Arabidopsis thaliana: one gene and its partner. The protein of the gene in region 1 interacts with the protein of each later gene in a pairwise test. Each region holds a gene or a part of one and is shown in the gene's direction. Other genes may lie near its edges. The genes, in order: AT4G15545 and DDL.

What was found.
Region 2: the proteins of AT4G15545 (region 1) and DDL interact in a two-hybrid assay, tested with the Arabidopsis thaliana proteins (one large-scale study listed by BioGRID).

What each region holds. Positions count from the first base shown.
Region 1 is NC_003075.7:8,873,909-8,878,371, forward strand, and holds AT4G15545 (PH-response transcription factor), read left to right. Parts: upstream 1-1,747; 5' UTR 1,748-2,023; coding exon 2,024-2,335; intron 2,336-2,422; coding exon 2,423-2,491; intron 2,492-2,591; coding exon 2,592-2,645; intron 2,646-2,734; coding exon 2,735-2,774; intron 2,775-2,860; coding exon 2,861-2,959; intron 2,960-3,041; coding exon 3,042-3,266; intron 3,267-3,348; coding exon 3,349-3,470; intron 3,471-3,566; coding exon 3,567-3,659; 3' UTR 3,660-3,891; downstream 3,892-4,463. Other genes in the region: UMAMIT38 (EamA-like transporter family), read left to right, coding at 1-25, 230-440, 539-697, 765-916, 1,143-1,278; IAGLU (indole-3-acetate beta-D-glucosyltransferase), read right to left, coding at 3,969-4,463.
Region 2 is NC_003074.8:7,173,634-7,179,822, reverse strand, and holds DDL (SMAD/FHA domain-containing protein), read left to right. Parts: upstream 1-1,802; 5' UTR 1,803-1,951; intron 1,952-2,188; 5' UTR 2,189-2,222; coding exon 2,223-2,597; intron 2,598-3,057; coding exon 3,058-3,089; intron 3,090-3,168; coding exon 3,169-3,235; intron 3,236-3,346; coding exon 3,347-3,404; intron 3,405-3,756; coding exon 3,757-3,849; intron 3,850-4,371; coding exon 4,372-4,486; intron 4,487-4,600; coding exon 4,601-4,648; intron 4,649-4,739; coding exon 4,740-4,785; intron 4,786-4,873; coding exon 4,874-4,944; intron 4,945-5,088; coding exon 5,089-5,128; 3' UTR 5,129-5,387; downstream 5,388-6,189. Other genes in the region: AT3G20555 (uncharacterized protein), read left to right, coding at 1,209-1,349, 1,432-1,623. UniProt on the Arabidopsis thaliana protein: Involved in the microRNA (miRNA) and short interfering RNA (siRNA) biogenesis. May facilitate DCL1 to access or recognize primary miRNAs. Binds RNA non-specifically.

The sequences.
Region 1 (4,463 bases):
CCTTCATCCTTGCCATCTTCTTCAGGTTCCACTTTCTCCTAAACCGGGTGATTCCAATCTTAACCATACAAAAGATATGATTTTCACACAGTAACAGTCAATATGAAATGATATTTTTGTCTGTGAATTATGGAGTAGTTGTATAAGTATGAGAAATGTTGGATAGATATGAGGTTTGTTTGTAACTCTAACTTTGATGACTTGTTCTGCTTCCTTGGGTGACTTAAAGGATGGAACAAGTAATGTTAAGAAGCTCTGCAACTCAGGCTAAAATCATTGGCACAATAGTTTCTATATCTGGTGCTCTGGTTATTGTTCTGTATAAAGGCCCAAAACTTCTTGTTGCTGCATCGTTTACTTCATTCGAGTCAAGTTGGATAATTGGAGGCCTTTTGCTCGGTCTGCAGTTTTTGCTTCTTTCAGTCTGGTTTATTCTTCAGGTAGTACATACACTTGGAACAGATTCATGAAAGAGATTTTTGGATTTGTTGGTGACGCATAAGATTGAGCTAAATTTGTCACTTCCACATGATTTTAGACTCATATCATGGAGATATACCCTGAAGAAATAGCCGTAGTCTTCTGCTACAACTTATGCGCAACTCTAATCTCAGGGACAGTATGTCTACTTGTAGAAAAAGACTTGAATTCTTGGCAGCTTAAACCAGGTTTCTCCCTCGCTTCAGTCATATACTCGGTAAGTAATCAAACCTCATAAGTTGAGAAATCAAATCTTTAGCTCAGAAACTAATACTCTGTTTCAGGGACTCTTTGATACATCATTGGGCTCAGTTATCCACACATGGGGTCTCCATGTGAAGGGTCCAGTCTACATATCCTTGTTCAAGCCGCTGTCTATCGCAATTGCAGTCGCCATGGCTGCTATATTCCTCGGCGACACACTTCATCTTGGGAGGTACCATCTTATTACCTTCAACTTTATAATGTCTCTTTCTTAAAGAAACATAGTGATGATAACTTAGTTCTAGGTGTTTGAAATGTTTAGTTTCATCTTCAAATACATAATGAATAATAAAATGTGAAGACAGTAACAACTAACAATCGATATAGATTTTCGGTTGTTAGGTAATAAGATTTACATGATTGGTACATATAAATTTGCATCTATGTGTTGTGGGCAGTGTGATTGGATCAGTGATATTGAGCTTTGGGTTTTACACTGTGATTTGGGGCAAAGCAAGAGAGGATTCAACCAAAACAGTAAGTGATTCTGAGCAATCACTTTTATTGCCTTCACACGACAGAGAAGAAGATTGAAACCTTGTCATGAAAATATGTTGGAGACAAGTGTAATCGTTTTCTTATTTTATTCATAATTATGGTCCCATTAGATGATGATGATCCCTATTTATCTTGTAAGTTGTAAGATCTTATGACTTGTACAAAAAAAATCTAACATGATACATTGAAATGTGAAAAATGATATACTTATTTGTTGAGAAAATGATAATATTTCTTATAGTATAAGGAATTTATTTACTTTTCTAGGGGGTAAAATCCAGCTATGTCCGGATTTTCGGTTTGTTTGCAATTTGAATCCGGTTTTGTATCCAGTTTGACGTTTGGAATTGGATACAATGTATTTGTCTCCTCTTATGTGTCCAATGAATTATAGTCCTATCCATTCATAGAACAAAAACTTGGCTTACCCAATTCAATACCACACATTATGTCATATCACTTCACACAAAAAGACAAACCATACGTGACCACATTTCTCTTTATCCACACACATTCACGTCTATCAATTCAATCATATCAACATTACATAACCGAACCGGTATCAATCCCAAACCGGAATTGTATTTCCCATAACACAATAGAATTTAGCGTTGACATAATGAAGCTTTTTGTAATAATACAGTCTCAATCGATGAATATTGATATGTAAAATCAAGAAATTGTTTGGTTTAGACTCAAATTTCGGTTTAATACTAATACCGGGTTATACCGTAACCGTATATGAACTCATAAGGTACAAAAAAAACACAGAAAACGAGAAATGTCAGAGATAGAAGAAGAAGAAGAAGAAGGATCAGCAAGTGCAATTACAGGTTCGAGAAGTTTCGATCTTCCCGATGAACTTCTTCAAGTTCTACCGTCCGATCCATTCGAGCAGCTAGATGTAGCTCGCAAAATCACATCCATTGCTCTCTCGACACGTGTCTCAGCTCTCGAATCAGAGTCGTCGGATCTCCGGGAACTTCTCGCCGAGAAAGAAAAAGAATTTGAAGAACTCCAGTCTCACGTTGAGTCTCTCGAGGCTTCTCTTTCCGATGCGTTTCATAAGCTTTCTCTCGCTGATGGTGAAAAGGTCCGACCCGACCCGGTTTTTGACTTTATTTGTTCTGTTTTGACCCGATTCATTTTTACTGATTTTGATCTAATTATCTTCTTCCAGGAGAATCTGATAAGAGAAAATGCTTCTTTGTCTAATACTGTCAAGAGACTTCAGAGAGATGTCTCAAAGGTAATTTTGACTCTGTTTCAAATTTGACGTCAGGTCTCTTTGTTTCTAAATTTGGAAGTAGCTGAGATTTTAGGGTTTTTGTTTCTAAATTTGTGTGCAGCTTGAGGGTTTTAGGAAGACGCTTATGATGTCTCTTCAAGATGATGACCAAAATGTATGAAACTTATACTCTTCATGTTCTCTAATTTGCTTTGAAGTAACAAATTCATGATCTTGAATTGATTGTGTTTGGTTTTGTAACAGGCAGGAACAACGCAAATCATCGCTAAGCCGACACCAAACGGTATAGTTCTTGTGAAGATTTTAGTGAAAACTTGTGTTCATATACCAAAATGGATGGTTCTTATTGTGGTTTATTGTCATTTTCAGATGATGATACTCCATTTCAACCTTCAAGACATTCATCAATCCAATCTCAACAAGCTTCTGAAGCCATTGAACCAGCTGCAACTGACAACGAAAACGATGGTATAGTACTTGCTTGCTCTCAACGCTTAAGCCACTAACCTTTTGTGTTTAATGCGTTAGTTTGTTTTGTGTTATATCGTAGCTCCTAAACCAAGTTTATCAGCTAGTCTTCCGTTAGTATCACAAACTACTACGCCACGGCTTACTCCTCCTGGTTCTCCACCAATCTTATCTGCTTCTGGTACACCGAAAACAACTTCGAGACCTATCTCTCCTCGACGCCATTCTGTATCGTTCGCTACCACTAGAGGCATGTTTGATGATACTAGATCTTCTATTTCAATCTCAGAGCCTGGTTCACAAACTGGTAAGTTCAAACCAAGATTTTCTTGTGGCGGGTTTTGGAACAACACCTTTATTTACGGTTTGTTTGTTATCTTCGTTTTCAGCGAGAACTCGGGTTGATGGAAAAGAGTTCTTTCGACAAGTCAGGAGCCGATTATCTTACGAGCAATTTGGTGCATTTCTTGGAAATGTGAAGGATCTTAACGCCCACAAGCAAACAAGAGAAGTAAGGAGAATCCTCTCTCAATCATCTTTACCCTCTTTCGATTCAAAACTTGGATTCTGATTCGACCTGCAATGTCTTTTCTTCTTTGTTTTCTAGGAAACACTTAGGAAAGCTGAAGAGATATTTGGAGGCGATAACAGAGATCTCTACGTCATATTCGAGGGCTTGATCACACGCAACGCTCACTAAGAGTTTGGCTTCTTCAGTTACACAAAGAACTTATATACTCGGAAACTCAGGATTCATCAGTCTGCAACATTCAATTTCTTTTGTTTCCTTGGCTGTCAAGTAAGACCAAGTAAAACTGACAATTTGATTGTATCATTTGTGCTCTCTCGTGTATCTATCTATCTCTCTCTTCTTGAATAAATTACATTTCATCATCTTCAAAACTAACCAATCAACATCCAAAATACTGTCTACTGTATTGTGTAAACATTGAAACAGAGCAAGGAAGAACAGAAAAGCGGAGTGTTGTTATAATTTCTGATACCAAAATCACATGTGCTCATCGACAAAAGCTTTGAGATGATTAAAGGAAGAGCCTCCTTCTCTCACAGCCTCCGCCGCTAAATCCTTCCACCTCGTGGCATTTCCTCTAAACTCCTCCGCCTTGTCTTCCATAACTTCCTCAATGCACCGCCGTATCTCCTCACTATCCACCACCACAACTCCTTCTTCTTCCTTCTTCTCCATCACTCTTACACCTGTTTTCCAACAATCTTCTAAAAGCTTCGCGTTCATCATCTGATCATTCCATTGCGGAAACGCCACCACCGGAACTCCTGAAACCAAGCTCTCCAGCGTAGAGTTCCACCCGCAATGCGTCACGAAACAACCTATCGATCTATGATTCAAAACCCTAAACTGATCACACCATGAAACCACCATTCCTATCTCATCGAGCTCTTCTCTGAAACTACTTATGCAATCTTCTTCCTTCTCTTGCTCATCTTCTTTATTTCTGTACGACTTATCCGTAATCACCCACAA
Region 2 (6,189 bases), on another chromosome or scaffold:
TCACCTTCTTGTTGTAGTGGAGATTATAAATGTACACATCAACTTGAGATTTGCTAAATTGTAATCTTTTTAGTTAGCACACAATATATAACATAACAACATAAAGTACTTTTGATGGGTGAACCTAAATGTATTTTGGTAGTTTTCCAATAAAAGTGTTAATTTAGATAAAAACATTTGCCTAATGATACATTTGCCTGATGATAATCACAAATTCACAGAAACAGTAGATAAGGATCAAATTTTATATTGTCCATTAATGAAAATAATTTCGATAGAAGCTGAAACAAGATATATTAATTTCATTTTAGCTTATATTCTCCGTTATCTAGCGTTTGATGTAACATTTATAAGTATATATCTGTATTAAGTACAAGAATTTGTTGAGGAAGGAAAAAGTGTTCTTACAAACAAAAATATAAATTTGTCAATGATGGAGACATGTAATTCGTGGGGAACTGCTACTAAGTGTTTAACGATAATATATATGGTTTATAACGTGACAAGGTGATGATAGTCAATTCATCTATTTGAAAATCCTTCAACAAAAAAACAGAAAACGTGATGAAGGCAACATTAGGCTAACACCACAAATAGCTAATTGATATATAAATATAGTCGGTCCACGTTCTCGAACCTTTATAGTCCGGCAGGATAATTATTTTACTATTGTCTAGCTTACAAAACATGTACGACATATTGCACTTTTAGATTGTGAGATACGAATTGTGTGAATTTGTAAAGTTAGTACCGAATCTTTGATGGTTGTTATAATAATTTGCCTCTTTTTCATCAGCAATCTATGACGTAAGAGGCTACGTATGTTCGCTTAAAATTTGACCTAATTTGGACTTTGTCATAGTGAAACCGTATGACAATAACGAAGAAGGTGACGGTGACCGATTCTGATATATGTGACAGTCTAGCCAGTATTTTGCAAAACATAAGATACTAATGAAGTGCATGATGCATGACCGATATTTGAATTAGATATACAAGCCGGCTGGTAGATCATTAGACAACATTTGTTTGTGTGTCTATGATGCGAAAAAAATAAATATTCTCAATCTTTGACAAAAAATATAATAATGACAAAGTACATATCGTTTTGTTCATACGTAAACAAGAATTAGTTTTTAATCGTCTATAATATTGGCGTACACTAGTATATACATGAAACTAAAGATACATCAAATAAACAAGGAGACATGATTTGGGATTCGATGAGCCATCACCCGACAAACCAAAGCATCACCCGAGAAACTCATACTGACCCGTCTCTAAAGCTCGAGTCTATGAATGCTGTCTTCCACATAAGCTTCAAGGCCAACAGTTGCGACTACAAATCGGTAGTAAGGAGAACTACAGATGGGATTTCAGGACATATGTTCCTCGAAGTTGAAAATTTCTCTCCACAAGTTCCTTCATGAGAGGATCAAAGTTGGTGGTAAACCTGGTGCACTCTGTTACAATCAGAACAAGATCACTGTCACTTCTGATGGTTTATGTCGTTTAGCTATCCACCTCAACTATATCTATGATCTTGTATTTGTCTTCTATCCTATCAAAGTTGGTGGTAAAGCTGGTGCACTCGATTTGTTACAGGCTCACCGATTTGTTTGATGATCAATTATAAAATCTTTGTTGCAAACTAGGACGAAGAAACAAAAATCTCGAAGGAAGTACAAGGGTACGACGTTACAAGCGGCTTCTGCCCTAATTATACATATCCTTTCTACCAAACAAGATATGACACGTGTCAACTAATGGAAGTTTTACCATACCGTCTACAATTTGTTTGATATTGAACCCCTCAGTTTCCATTTATTTGCAAAAGAGGCCAAATAAATGATTCTTCTCGTTTTGGCTCTGATTCTTTTTATCTCTGCGATTATTATTATTCACTCTCTCCTCTTCTCTCCGCCGAAGTAGTCACAGTTCCGGCCACCAGGTAAAATTTTTCTTTCTCGTTATGCAGCGATTTTTTCTCTTAACGATTCTTGCAACCCTAGACTATGCCCGGAACTTCTGAATTTAGTATTTGAAATCTGTAGCTTACGTTTTTTGGTTTAGGGCTTTTGCTCCATTTCTAGTTTCTATGCATTTGGGAATTAGGGTTTACTGTGTTATCTGGAGCTCACATGCCTTTTCCTTCTGACCCTGGTTTCAATTTGTGATCTTTCCAAAGGCAAAGAAGAGAGAAAACGACCCTGACTCCAATAATGGCTCCTAGTTCTAGGTCTCCTTCACCACGTACGAAGAGACTGAGAAGAGCTCGAGGAGAGAAGGAAATTGGGAGAAGTAGAGAGAGAGAAGATGATGGTAGAGAAAGGGAGAAGAGAAACAGTAGGGAAAGGGATAGAGATATAGGAAGAGATAGGGATAGGGAGAGAAAAGGAGAAGGAGAAAGAGATAGGGAAGTTGGGGATAAGAGAAGACGATCAGGGAGAGAGGATACTGAAAAAAGGAGAAGGACAAGAACAGATGATGAGAGATACTCTAGAGGAAGACATGAGAGGTCTACTTCACCGTCAGATAGGAGTCACAGGAGTAGTAGGCGTTCACCTGAAAGAGCTATTGCCTCAAGGCATGATGAGGTATTTCTGCTTCTTTCTTTAGCTTGGATATGTTCTTAATCTCAGAAGTGTTTTTTTTTTTGTTTTGGGTTTTACTTGTGCATATTCGTATTCTGCTTGAAAAGATAAATGTGATTGAAATTGTTTAGCTCTGATGTATGCTAGAAAAGGTTAGCCTCTGCTGCTTGTTTCGTCACATAATAAATAATTGGAATCCTGTAATCTAGCTTATCCATCTCGTGAGTCTATAACTAGAACCTGCAGCCAGCCATTTTTTGCTTACTCTGTTGCTAAAGGACTTAAGAAAGATAGTCTCTTTGTTTCCCTTCAGCATGTCCAGTAACATCACTTCTCATGTTTCTCTCTTTTTAGTAAAAGCTCATTATATAGATTATGGTTGCTTTCTGCAAATTATCATTTTCTGCGAGCCACAGATTTTTGTTACTTCTTCAGTCATTTTTATCGCCTTTTGTCTTTTCAGGGGTCTAATGCAAGAGGGGGCAGCGAGGAGCCGTGAGTTTTCTTCTTATTAGATTAGCCGTTACAATTTTTCAGTCTTTCTTTTAACCATGTTATGGGTTTTCGTTAACAGAAATGTCGAGGAAGATTCAGTCGCGAGAATGAGAGCAGTTGAAGAGGCTCTGGCAGCGAAGAAAAAGGTATTATATCAAGCCCTATTGATTTTCAATTTCCAATGTCATTTTGAGCTCGCTTAGCTCATCCATGCATAAATGCTAACGCTTCAAATCTAATTTTGATATATCTTGTAGGAAGAACCATCATTTGAGCTATCAGGGAAACTTGCTGAAGAAACTAACAGATACAGAGGTGAAACTTCTGATCCGTCCATTTCATTTAAGAATATCACCTGTTACCATTACCTTGTGCTAGAAACTTTTGCCATAGTGTTTTCATTGCATGTTTGAACTGCGAAACATCTGCCTTTGTTGTCAGGTCATATTTACTTAATTTTGTATGCGTACGTGTCTGTCACTGGGTAAAAGCTTTCTTTGGTCAATATCTAATGAGACTAGAAGCTTCAATATATAAGCATCTGCTATCAGCAGATATCTTTTGACTGCCAATCCGCTTTTGCTCCTAGGAATGGAGACGGTGGTTTCTCGCATTAAATTTCACCATAGGCATGCTTAGCTTCCTTGACTGAGTGAATCCTTTGCAGGTATCACACTCCTCTTCAATGAGCCCCCAGAGGCTAGAAAACCCAGCGAACGATGGAGACTGTATGTTTTTAAGGATGGTGAACCACTGAATGGTGAGTCTTTGACGTCTTCCACATCTCTATCCATCTGTCTAAGTAGTGGTTCATTTGTCTTCTATGTATTTCACTTAACTATCTTACTGTGGTGAACGTCAATTTTTTGTCCACAAAATATGCAGTAAAGCATGTAGTGGCAATGAAAGAGATACTCAAGAAATTTTGATGCACTCTAGCCATGTAAACTTGAAAACTGTGGTCATTGATGGTTTAGTGTCCAGATAACAGCGTGATTACCGATAGTAGCCAAACTATAGCTTGATACTTCTTAGAACTTGTCAATTTTCTTAGAATGAATCTTATTATGAATGTTAATGACTCTTAGAGGAAAAATAGCTCCTTTGATCTGATATGTTTGTGACTGTGGCTTCCCGTGTCATTCTTACTTTGAACCCCTGAACATTGTATATAAGATTTTACATTTTGTTTCCCATTTCTGTTTGCTTAATAATTCTGAATGCCCTGAATCAGTTTTCTTGATGTATGTTTCTGTGCATGTGAAATGTGTTGGACTAACAGAGCCACTCTGCCTTCACCGCCAAAGCTGCTACCTCTTTGGACGTGAAAGAAGGATTGCCGACATTCCTACGGATCACCCATCTTGCAGCAAGCAGCATGCTGTCATTCAGTACCGGTAGGGTTCTGACATGTATTTCTCCTTTTAAGTAGTAATATCTATGACAATAGATTTAATGAGAATAAGGTTTTTAGTTTAATATTTATGTCACTGTGAATGTGCTTTTCTCAGGGAAATGGAAAAGGAGAAACCAGATGGTATGATGGGGAAGCAAGTGAAGTAAAACCTATCTGCTCTTTCATTTTGCTTAAAATTTGTACCTCTTCTGGCTTTAAGCTAAATTTTAATTTCCCTTAATGTCACTTTCCAGGCCTTACATAATGGATCTTGGTAGTACCAACAAAACTTATATCAATGTAAGTGCTCAATTACATTCCTTCTTATGTGCTTCTTTATCATGGTTAATTCAAACGTTTGTGATTAGAACTTCTTTTACTTTTTCAGGAAAGTCCCATTGAGCCACAAAGATATTATGAGCTTTTTGAGAAAGACACCATAAAGTTTGGCAACAGCAGGTATTCTAATGAAGACACATTCTAGTTCTGGTTTCCCATTATGAATCATACCCCGTGCCTATTCTCTGTGATTAATCTTTGCTTGCTGTGCAGTTAACATCTACTTTCTTCTGTTCTTGACATGTTTTGTTCTTTTGGTTGCAGCCGAGAGTACGTACTGTTGCACGAGAATTCTGCCGAGTGAATGAAATCAGAGTCAAGCAGAAACGAGTAAATCACAAGATTAGATAGTTGCGTTTCTCAGGGTTTTTAGAGATGTTTGAGCTGCTTCATGTATGCTTTCTACCGTGCTGGTGATAATCTCAGACATCATTTAGAAATCTTTTGCTTGCTTGTTATATAATAAATGATGATGAACGATTGGTAAGAGAAAAAGGTTAACTTTTGGTATAACTGTATAAGATCAATCTCTACTTTAAAATTGTCGCTCCCTGAGGGTTTCGACCTAACTTAACGTAGAAACATGGAGACGACTGAGATTTCAACTAGAGTTACCAAAACGGACATCACTTTCTTAGTAAGATAAAGCTAACTCTGCGATTGAAAACTACTTATTTGTCAAGCCTTTAGTGAGGGATTCAAGGATCAAGTCACGGATCTCCTCCCTGCTTGCTCAGTCAAGAGTGGTTCTGCCGTCAGCATCCTTAACCGTGTAGTCAGCGTTTGAGAAGCTCTTCAATTTTAGGCTTGTCTCCCTCCGAGACTGCTAGCATTAAAAGGATGTCGACATGGTGCATCTTATCTTAGGTACCTTCCACCGCAAGTATCCCCATGTAGTTAAAATACTGCAAATAACACAGAAACGACAATAATAAATCTAACATTTCCTCTGTTTTCTTCATTCACAAACTCAGACACAACCACGTACGGAAGCTTTTATAAGCGCCCTTGTAACAAAACAAAGATTGACATATTTGACTCTAGAAGCTTGAAGTGAACACGAACCTGTTCGACGTCGTCTCTGTCAAAATCATCACGTGACTGGCTGCCATAGATTCCAGCATTCTCAGCATCGACGCCGTTCTTTCCGAACTTAAACGAGGCAGTGGCTCTGACCTATTGGAGGGTCCGAGTCGGATAAGTCTGATCCCGAGATTCACAACCCTAGTTCCAAGAAACCGAGAGGAGAGGCTAAGTGGGGTAGAAGAAGTGTTGTTGAGTTTGGTGGTAGAGGAGAATAAACTCGCAGAAGAGCTATGCATGGTGAAATGGAAGCCATGATACTGCCTCGAAGCTTCTTGCGAG